Arabidopsis thaliana: one gene and its partners. The protein of the gene in region 3 interacts with the protein of the main gene of each other region in a pairwise test. Each region holds a gene or a part of one and is shown on either strand. Other genes may lie near its edges. The genes, in order: HAC1, AT5G12980 and BZS1.

Region 1 (3,755 bases), on a different chromosome or scaffold from region 3:
TTCTGATAGGATTGGTGTAGGATGTACCTGAATCTACGCTTTTTGCATTCATTCCAACACCACCATTTATGGAGCTGTTAGACACATTAGACAATTTTTGTTGCATTCCAGGTCTAAGGCCAACACCCATTTGACTTCCATGGTTTTGCAGCATACGACTATTTTGGCCACCAATATCCTGCCTCAGTTGCTGTTGCTGAGTCTGAGGTACCATCATGGGAGCAGTAGAAAATCCACCACTATTGTTGGAAGCTTCAACACTCAAGTAAGACTGGCCATTATTGCTGTTGTTATTAGTACTACTGTTGACAAATCCAGGGGTAGGCATCATCTGGCCGGTATTTCTCTGGGAGCTCATGGATGACATGTTCCCTCCAGACCCAAGACCAAAGTTACTCGATGAATGTTGGTATCCATTAGACAGGTTACCTGCAAAGAGAAGTAAAGGTGTTCAGAAAAAATATGCGCAGAAAATTTTATGCCCATATTTTATATAAGTTGTAGTGAAAGAACCTCCAAGCATGCCACCAGAATTTAGCAGGTTTCCAGTGTTCATAGCACTAGTTGTGATGTTATTACTTCCAGCCATTGTAGCATCACCTGAGGAAGTAATCATCAAATTTGGATTCCCACCACTGTGTTGTAATCCTGGAGTGGGTATCATTGTTCCAACCGAAGAAGAATTAGCGTGTCGCTGATTGTAGTTATTTAACTGCCTGCCTTTGATTAGACTTGCCAGCCGAGGTTCAAGGGTTGACGGGTTCACGTAATCTTCCTGCGATTCAAAATGGAAGTGTAGCACGTTAACAAGAAATTTCAAGTTAGGACATTAGCCAACAAGCTGGATCTAGTGGCAAAATTTTAAATGCCAAATACGTGCCTATCCTTTCCTTAAGTATATTAAATAAATACCTTTGTGTTAGCAATTTTAAACAGCCCCTCCTCTAAGCGTCTAGCAACATCCATATATTTAGCCTTTGATGCTTCATCAGCTGGAGATGGTTGCTTTTGCTGTAAGATATTGAAACTGAAAAGAAAGAAGAGAAATACACGGATTTGATTGGCGATAAACTGGAGATATTGAATCCAATCCAAAATAAATAGCCGTATAACAAGAGCAAGGAAATATAACTGCAAAATGGTGGGAAGACACCAAAGTCAAAAGCTTGAGAAAAGCAAAGGCTTACATCCTGATTCGCATAGCCTGCCGAAGTTTCAAGATGTCATTGTCAACGGGAGAAACGCGTGAAGGTCCTAAACCAGCACCAGTAGCAGGAGCTGAACCACCACCAACTAAATTCTGCATTTGGGAGTTCCCATTTTGCTGGGACATAGTCCCTTGGTTTGAAACCTGCCCCGACATGTGAGCCTGAACATTCATAGCTACCTCTTCAGTCTCCGTCGCCTTGTCCTAGTTCTTCTGGTAATTAACAGTAACAAACACTGCATAACTTTCCTCTCCTCCAGAAGTCACAGTATCCAAATTTCATCTCCTGATTTAGCACCTTAGAGAATGTCCTGCTAAAAAAACTTGGTGTAATCAGAGAACTGAAATTGTCACAATTTGATCTCATATTAATTGGGAGATAGTATCAATCATAGTATCAACTAAAGAAGTAATTAAACCCCAAAATAGTTACCAAAAATGAACAAAATGATAAACCCTAAAAATTCACCCCCAATCTTTGAATTGATACAAAAAGGAGTAAAATTTGGCAACAAAGTGGAGAAATTTGACGGAGACCAACCGGTTGCTACAGATTGTACGATGATTGGAGTCTGCACAATGAAACAAAGCCGGTGAACAGCCGATGCGGCACGTGTGAACTCAAACCAAAAGCGAGGTCAGAAATTAGGATCAAGCAGTAGACAAATCCCAGAAAGAAGATGGCAAATCAAAAGCGAATGAATTCAGGTTTTCCCAAATCGGGGGATGTTCTGGGCTTGTAGGTTCGTCGAATTTGGGATTTTTCTTTGGACTCGCTCGATTTGGGGATTTTGTTTTTTTTTTTCTTTCCTTTCTAGGGATTCGTTGTTTTTCTAAAATAGTAACTCAACAAAAAATACACATTAAAATATTAATTTTGCTGTCTGAATACGATAATTGGCGCAACCAAAAGGCAAATAAATGAAAAAATCGACAAGCATTATGTTTAGATCGGACAGATTAGGATAAACTATAAGCATATGATCCTGTCCGTCCGCCGTAAAAAAAAAAAAGACATGATCTTGTCCGTCCGATCAAATATTTCTTAATGTACAGATATACCCTTGTAGCTTAAGACTTATCTGTTTTCAGTCTTTGACCAAATTAAATGCTCTTTCTCCGAACCGAAAACACCTAATAACCGGAACTCATGAACCGAAAATCAAAGTCAGGTTGGTTACAAACAATTCAATTACACAGCACAAAATCTGGATTACAAAAGAGTTTTCACACGCATATGATCTCGTCTTTATTTTCAAACAGAAGCAACGAAAATGTTTCCCCGGGAAAAACAAGTTGAATGAAGCAGAGACTGTTGTAGAATGGTTCAGCGGTAGAGACTCTCCGACCTCAGATTCTCAGCAATCTCTGTCTCCCATCGATCTCCATTCTCAAGAAGCTTCTCTTTGTCATAGAGAAGTTCCTATCATAGAGAATATAACAAAAATTTCAATAAGCATGCCTCGAAAATTATTAGGGTCTAGAAAATGTGAAAAACAGACCTCGTGTGTCTCGGTTGCGAATTCAAAGTTAGGTCCTTCAACGATTGCATCAACGGGGCAAGCTTCTTGGCAGAAACCACAGTAGATGCATTTTGTCATGTCGATATCGTACCTGTACGATACAGCTCAAATCATCATGAAAGGGTAATAAAGAAAGCAGATGGTTGATAAATGAGAACTAAAGGGATGATGACCTAGTGGTTCTGCGGCTTCCATCTTCCCTCTCTTCTGCCTCTATTGTGATTGCTTGAGCTGGACATACCTGATGAAAAGGACAAGTATCCCTCACAAGAATTACAATCCGTGGTGAACTTTTATACACACTAAATAGATCATTGTCAGCTAATATGACCATTTCATCAGAACTCTAGAGACTAAACAGTAAATATTACTCATACTCAAATAGCTTTCCTAATTACTAAGATGAATTTGATAGACTCAGAGTACCATATCAGAACAAAGAGAACGTTAAATTAAATGAAGGATTCATATCGATCTCAAAACTCACAGCTTCACAGAGTTTGCAGGCAATGCAGCGTTCTTCCCCGGTAGGATATCTTCGAAGAGCATGTTCACCACGGAAGCGAGGGCTCAGAGGACCCTTCTCAAATGGATAATTGATCTGCATACACGAAAGAGCTTCAGTAACACAGATTTCTTTCAATCTAAGTTTGGAAGACTAGAAAAGATATCACTCACAGTAACTTTTGGATCAAAGAAGTACTTGAGGGTCAGCGACAAACCGCGGACCATTTCTGTGAGGAACAGGGTGTTTATGCTCCGTTCAAAGACTACAAATTTGAGAATATCAGGAATCACTAATACTCGGGGAGGAAAACACCAAGGAAGATAGACGTACAAGAAAAGAAGAAAGGAGAAAAAAAGTAAAATTGTCTAGATCATATGGATTACCAGTATTCCAGTCCTTGGAGATTTCCTTAGAAAGTTGCTCTGCTTCTTCATCATCTGAATATTACATACGCAAACCATAAGTCATATATGAATCAGAATCTCGTAATACAAGTTGGAAAAGGGGTAGATTCACA
Region 2 (3,755 bases), on a different chromosome or scaffold from region 3:
AATCGTTGTTTCTCAAATCACCAAAATATTTATTTACAGCCAAACAGTTGTTAGCATGTAAAAGAAGTGTTCCTGCCTTTTTGGCATAAACATACTAAATAACTAGACGAGGAAACAAAACTCAAATATCAATACATACCTTAACAAGTGCACCAATAACCCCCAAGCTAGTCAGCCGCAGGTACTCAAACGGTCTTGATTTGCTTGATGTATTCAAGAAAGCATACAGGTACAATGGCAGATGGGCTGTATTTTGAAAAGCAACAGACTTTAAACTTTAAGCATATTATAGCCAAACACACATCTAATAAATGAGATCAATCAGAAAGAGACCAACAAGGTGGCTCTTAAAACTAGTTTTGGTAGACGGGTTGGGTATTCAACTAATGCAATCTATCTCTATAACTTTAGTCACAGAGCAAACACCGAAATTATTTGAATGAGAACTAAGGAAGAATTGTTCGGGCACAGGACTGTACCTTTTAGGAACAACATTCTCGTATCAGTATGAGAAGCAACACACTGGATGTACGAAAAAAGAGTCGAATCAATAAAAAATAGAGTCTTCCAAATTGAACATACATATATAAACGTTTGTAAGTCTCCCTAAAAAAGAAAGAGGAAACTGACAATATTTTATGCACCTGAAGAAGAGCAAGTGCATTGCACACCCTGTTAGATTGAGCAGGAGTCATGGTTGGAGGAGATAGGGCAGGGTAAACTGCGATAATCTCCTGAAAAGAGGAAAGAAAGAAAATGACTAGATCTTAACCAATACAATGTACATCAAATCTCAAAAGTTAAAATGCTAAAACTATAACAGTATATAGAGAAGCCAGAAATCAATAAATAAATTCCCCTGAAGAATAAAGGAACAAGTGCCATATAATAACATGGAGGAGAGGGTACCTGTAGAAGAGCAGGAATGGTACCAACAGAATGCCATAAAAGCGGAGCCAAATCTTGAAAGATCTCTCTCTTCTGAAATAATGAAACACGGGATTAGACATGAATTTCAGTGAGAAGAACTTCTTAATGTATGAAATCAAAAGCAATGAGTACAGTAAACATCAAAACCATTTGATTTTTTAATTGTCCAGACGTTTAACTTCAGTGAAGAATCCTCATACCAACTTAAATTGCTCACCAATCGAGATCAACGCCTTAATCAGTGTTGAACTATTTCGATTATTTAATTTCATCCCCTATTCATGCAGGTTTACAATCTCAACAATAATCGTACAAATTCCCTCAAAATTTGCGGCAAGGAAGAATTAGGAGTCGGTAATCTAAAAGCATGTCTACGATTCACCGGACTAAACAACCAAATACATTCGAAATTCCATTCAATAGAACGCAGAAAACGAAAACCCAAACGATCAAAAATTCGCGAGTAAGAGAATTCGGTGAGAGAGAGATGACCTTAGACAACTCGTGAAGTGCATTTTCTCTGAGTTCGGGATTGCTGAGATCGAGAATTAACTGCTCCGCCGATGATAGCTTCCGATCGTTGTTGGAGGAAGAAGAAGGAGAAGAAGCTCCTGAGAGGGCGACAGATTTCATGGAGAGCGGAGGAGGAAGATTAGCCATTAGAGCCCCGTCACCGTTTACACGCGCCGCAGAGAGAATCGCTACTTGTGACAGTGAAAGGAGGAGATGTATTTATAGGACCTAAGGGGGGCGTGTATGTCACGTGCCTCGCTTGCTCCGTTACGGGATTTGTTCAAATCTAAATCTCACGTGACTTGTGAAAAAAAAAAAAAAACTCTCACGTGACTCTCCCGTGCCTCACACAACTTAAGATTCTGAAAGATAGATTATAAGATTTACATGATTCACATTATGACTTAGCTAATGTAGAAGACAATAAAAAAACATAGGTATTTTGATATCAACAAGCCAAAAAAACACACACTATATCTACTTTGTTTGTGGCGCCAAAATAAACTGATTTAATATCTTTATTTATTGCGGTACAATAAATAGTTTAACCGTATATCCTTTTATTTTTGTTTAACATGAATTTGTCGTGTCACTCGGTGTAACATGCAAGGGGAATATGTGGCTCCAAAACTCAACAAGTAGTGGTCGATTGGCTACCGAAACTAATTAAGGTCAATGCAATAATTTTATTGACAAACAATCTAGCATCAACAAATCTATATACAGTCACAAAATTAGAACTAGATACACCATATTGTCCTTATAAAGAAAATATATCTTACCGTTTTAAAACTAAAATCAGACAAAATTCTAGTACAAAACCTTAGACAACCAATCTACCACTTCACATCCAAAAGATCGGTTTTCCCAAGTTTCTTCTAGAAACAAATGTCACAGAATAATTAATTGTGATTTGATACCAACTTAAAACACTCTAAACCCAAAATTTATATATACAATTGATGTCACGAATGCTTCCGACTTCATCTTGAGAACTAACTCATCACAAAAATTGAATTGGAAGTTGTTACGCTTTGGCATCTTTCCAAAGCATCCACAAAATCTTGGCTGAAGTAATTGAAATACTCTATAGTAAATAACGAAGTTAATCATTTTCAACCTGAAATAGAAATTTAACATTCGGATAAACAAAACTCAAAACTAGAATGTGAAAAGCATTACAAACTAATATGTCAACAATGGGAAACAGAAGATACAGAAAAAAGATATAAGGAATGAATCTATGGAGTAAAAGGAATGTGTTTATGATGAAGAGGGTCGGATCCAGTTGGAACTTGTCTTTCTTCAACTTCATTAGCTGTTCCTCCATCAATCTTCTTCTCCTGTTTTCAGTACCAAAACAAAAAATTAATCATCTTTGCATCAAAATCATATAGAAAAATACAAACGAATATCAAATGCAAAGAGCTAGCTAGAAAACAAAAAGTTTCATACTTTTTATTGTAAAAATAAGAAACGAATTGTTCATTTCCTTCAAAACAGTCGCGTTGTGTTTCTAGGAAGAGATTTTCTTACCTTTTTCATGGCTTTCGTATCTTGTGTTTCTCCTAACCAAAAGAAGGCTAGAAACAAAAAGAACAAAGAGGATTGATTCATCATGTTTTGAACCCAAACGATGAATAAAGATGAGAATATTATTAAACATATCACATGACACTTACATTTTGTAGAAGAAGAGTGAGCAAGTAGTGAGGACGAAAGAAGAAGGATGACTAATATGATAAAAACGCTTCCTTTGTATTTCATCGCCGCCATTTCAAAAACCTCTTTGTGGTAAGAGTCTCGACAAGAGTGACGAGAGGTGTGTCGTCGTCTAATAAGGTGAAAGTTCCGGGTTTTAACCTCGTTTTACAGCTTTGTTGGGGCCAAATCCGTCATTTTGGTTGTTCTTTTTGGGATGAGATTTAAGCTGTACGGACACAGATTACCGTTTACAGGCTGGCTCGAACCAAGACAAATTATCATTCTCGTACAAATGTCGTGGTGCCACGTATCGCCGCCACGTCTCCGCTTATTTGTCGAACCAAACATTGTCACAACTTCCCGCCATTTTTTAAGTTGTCTTTCAACGAAGCAGAGGAAACTAGGGCTAATCCTTCTTAGAAGATCGTGGGCTTTCCTTATCGGCCCATTAATGAACCCAGTTGGTAACTAGGGAATTTTTGAAAGCTTTGTTGTCGCTGTATCTTATAGGCCAAGCAAAAGTTGTTAGTAAGTTCCTTATCTTCCTCGACATGGACCAATGGAGGTCTTCAACTAAATAATTAAACAGTCATTAAATGATAGATAAC
Region 3 (3,755 bases):
GGCTAATCCCTTACGGAATGTCATTGATTCATATCGATTTCAAATACGTATCCAGATCTTCTTCATCTGTTACAGTGTATAGATATCAATACAACAAATACCTGAAATTAAATTCAAAGAAAAAGAAACTAAGATTAAAAGAGGATTGGTTGACAAAATAAATTTAAAATCATAATGTGAGATAAATATAGAAACAACAATACTAAAAAACGAAAACAACAAGTTGGTTTGGATTCATGATTACAAACCCCAACTTATAAAAAAAAGACTATAATTCGACAGAAATAAGTTCAAGAGAAGGGTTTGTGATCCCAAAACCCTTGATGATGGAATTGTGAAGAACCATCATAAACCCTATAAGACTCACTGTTATTGTTATTAGTAATAATGTTATCCTCATAGGAGACACAAGAAGGGTGTTCAAGCAAATCCTCCACTCTCCAACCCGGTAATGTCTCCATCAAATACTCGGATATACTACCTGTACAACCCGATCCCGACCCCGAATCGCTCACGTGATGGTAGTTTTCTTCTATCCCATAATAGCAATTGCTCGTGGTCGTCGAAGAAGAGCTCGTAAATACCTCATTGGAGGCCGAGCTCGGGACCTCGCTCGATACTGATTTTGGTCGGGTTTTGGCTCGACCAAATGCAGCAGCAGAGTTGGAATTGGAGGCTCTTGGGTAGGCTGACGGGGAGGCAGAGATCTTAACGCCGGTAAGGAGGAATCTATTGTGTTTCTTAGTGTGCTCATTAGCTTGATGTATTGGAATGTCACATTCTCTGCATAGTATTGCTCTGTCTTCTTGGCAAAATAATAATGCACGCCTCTCCTGTCATATGTATAAAGGTTTAGTACCATTTAATAATAGATAATCAAGAAGACTCTTGTTTTGTATCCATCTATTTTAAAACATACTTATCTGCTAGATTTGACCTTTTCAAACAAAAAACATTCCATTTTATTGTTTTATTTTATTTAATGAACAGCAAAAAGAAATATCCTTTTCTCCACGGCTTACCTTCCCAAAGAAGAAAGTATTTTAATATCGTAATAACTAATAACTCGATTTAATTGGTTAATATCTTAAGTTTGATTAGTGTGTAACCAAATAAATCACCAAGGTGTTTGGTAAGCTCAATCTCTGTTCTCTTTTTGAGAAAAGTAATATTTGGTCGTGGCCATAAAATTCCTCGTCAAAAATTGTGTGAAACCTCAAATTTGCTAGGAAAGGAAGTAAACTTGTTGCCAAATAATCATTTTCTCACCAACCAACAAACAAATCTCGGAAAGAAAGAAGAAAAAAAAAGTGACTCAGGTCACCCGAAACATCCGTTCATGAAACCAGATTTCCATCAATACTATAACATATCTAAAAGCTCACAAATTTTCCAAGTGAAGATTATAATTCTATCAAGAAAGGCAAAAAAAAAGAGAGAAGTGTTAAATTTTGTTGTTACGTACCCCGCAAATATCACAAAGAGGAGCATCTTTGAAAGTAGGAGAAGTGAGAGAGAACCGGAGATGTTTCCCGGCTAGTTTATTGGCGAAATGAACATGGCGATCGCAACCATTACAAAGAGCTGCTTCATCCGCACAACAAAACACCGAAGCTTCTTCTTTATCACAAACAGCACACCAAATCTTCATCTTTCTATTTTCTTTCCTCTCTGTATTACAAAAATAACTTTATTTTTTATTGTTTCTTGAATATAACAAAATTGCTTCTTCTCACTCTCTCCCTCAACTTGTACCTTTGGACCAGTACTATATAGTAGTGTTTATGTAGAGACACTCATGTGGGTGAGTGTATGTAGAGGTTGATGGGGTATAAGTGTGGGCAAAAGGGTAAGAATAATGTGTTGGCTTTATAGATAAGCAGCTTAGGTTTCCTTTGTCTTTTTTAACTCCTTCCTCTCATTTTCTTGATTTGATAGCTACTCTCTCCTTTGCTTTCAATGCCCCCAAATTGACTTGTTTTGGTTTTGGTTTCACACCCGGTTTGATCTGGTTTAGAATTCAGGGAACTTAAACAAAAGCATACCGGGTATGTAAGTCAATTAGTATACGTTTTAATCACAAATTACATTAAATTTCGGTTTCATAGAAGGAGGCAGATATTATAATTGATAGGAACTTGACGGTAGTACTAGTATGATTAAGTTAGTTAATTTTTGTTTCATTTAATAACACTGAGAACTATTAATTGGTAGTTAAGCTCATTTGTTTCTTTAGTTTAAATGAGTCTTAAACTCTTAATGCTTTAGAAAAATATTATGTAATTTATACGAATGTAAGGAAAAACAAAAATGATGAATCAGTTTAATTGTTTCTTTTATATTACCGAAATAGGTAAAGAGGCCTAGAAGTGGGAACTTTTAAGGCTCTTATGGAAGAAAAAGTGCAAAAGTGGAATTTAATAGTACAATCTTTTTGGTCTAAAATTCATCTTTTTAGTCAGATGCTAGTTAATCTAATTAATAGAAACGACAAAAAAATCGAAATAAAAACTAATTAAAGAAATGGAAAAGGTGGGGGAACTTTGAGAAATGGCCAGCTCTTCATGCCAGCTTTTGTCTTCCATCATCCATGTGTATATCTACTTCCTTTTTTTTTTTTTTTTACCTCAATAAATAAATATCGCCGCTCTTTTTTTTTATATAGATTTTATGTGTATTAGTTGAACAAATAGTATAAATTATTGAATGGCAAATCCATTTTCCAATCTTCTTCATACACTCAACAAACACTGCCATGTATTTGATATTGGTTTCGGTATAAACCTAACCAACCATAGCTTATTTAAAAACCATAGCTTTATGAACTTCAATTTATTCTTACAGATTTTGGTTCAGTTTCTATTCCGGTGGTTTGTATCGGTTCTGTCTAACTTGATTGAAAATGGTACAATATGCTGTAATCGTTATAAAGTGGCCTTAATGACCGTTGAGAATTGAGATTTAGACATGATCTAATTGTATTAACAGGCTAGACATGATCATCGCTTGTTCATGTATCTTTTTAATGAATGAAATTTCTTAAATGTTCTCGTAGTAATCCCAATAACCAAACATACTCGTATTAATATAAGCTTTGCGGTCATGTCGGCCATATTGTTCGAATTTAAATGAGTTTTTTTTTGGTATAATAAACGCTGAATACTTTTGATATAAAATAAGTAGAGTGGATCTGATCTTTTGAAGAATAATAATTTTAGATAATATATAATTTATGAGGAAGAAGACGACAAAAAACACTTTTAGAGGAAGAAGATATGGATGATCTCTCTCGATTCTCGAATCTTTCCCCTCGTTACTTATTTTTTTTTTGTCAACTTCCCTTCTTGCATTAAAAATCTATACATTCATTTTGACTGACTCTTTGAAGAAAATTTTTAAGAATTTTTGAGTTTGGGTTTCAACGAAGTAACTTCGTCAGGACTTGGTACTAAAAAACGATATTGTTGATCTCATTTTTTTTTTTTTTTATCCAAGCTGCTGCGTGGAATCATATCGTCTTTTGGTTTGCATTTGATGTACATAAAGAAAAACAAACAAACCAGGTAACAAATCGTTTTCAAAGAAAAAAAAGAAAAGGTTCTTTGCGTGATTTTAAAAGAGATCAAATTTTTTATATAATATTTGTAGATCTTGAGTCACATGGATGTACTACTGGACTTTTTGAAAAGGTTCTTCGTGCACTTTTTAGACATTCCTTCTTATAAAATAGTATGCATGGGACCTTTACCAATTAA

What was found.
Region 1: the proteins of BZS1 (region 3) and HAC1 interact in a two-hybrid assay, tested with the Arabidopsis thaliana proteins (one large-scale study listed by BioGRID).
Region 2: the proteins of BZS1 (region 3) and AT5G12980 interact in a two-hybrid assay, tested with the Arabidopsis thaliana proteins (one large-scale study listed by BioGRID).

What each region holds. Positions count from the first base shown.
Region 1 is NC_003070.9:29,722,604-29,726,358, forward strand, and holds the start of HAC1 (histone acetyltransferase of the CBP family 1), read right to left. Parts: upstream 2,033-3,755; 5' UTR 1,749-2,032; intron 1,522-1,748; exon of another isoform or gene 1,519-1,521; 5' UTR 1,382-1,518; coding exon 1,188-1,381; intron 1,028-1,187; coding exon 913-1,027; intron 776-912; coding exon 514-775; intron 430-513; coding exon 1-429. Other genes in the region: AT1G79010 (Alpha-helical ferredoxin), read right to left, coding at 2,535-2,630, 2,710-2,821, 2,904-2,971, 3,218-3,331, 3,409-3,500, 3,622-3,675. UniProt on the Arabidopsis thaliana protein: Acetyltransferase enzyme. Acetylates histones, giving a specific tag for transcriptional activation.
Region 2 is NC_003076.8:4,106,550-4,110,304, forward strand, and holds the start of AT5G12980 (Cell differentiation, Rcd1-like protein), read right to left. Parts: upstream 1,684-3,755; 5' UTR 1,591-1,683; coding exon 1,423-1,590; intron 982-1,422; coding exon 910-981; intron 735-909; coding exon 645-734; intron 523-644; coding exon 480-522; intron 247-479; coding exon 140-246; intron 1-139. Other genes in the region: CLE40 (CLAVATA3/ESR-RELATED 40), read right to left, coding at 2,685-2,786, 2,980-3,026, 3,126-3,219.
Region 3 is NC_003075.7:18,204,771-18,208,525, forward strand, and holds the start of BZS1 (B-box zinc finger family protein), read right to left. Parts: upstream 1,915-3,755; 5' UTR 1,652-1,914; coding exon 1,466-1,651; intron 834-1,465; coding exon 291-833; 3' UTR 1-290. UniProt on the Arabidopsis thaliana protein: Acts as a positive regulator of seedling photomorphogenesis. Plays a negative role in brassinosteroid responses.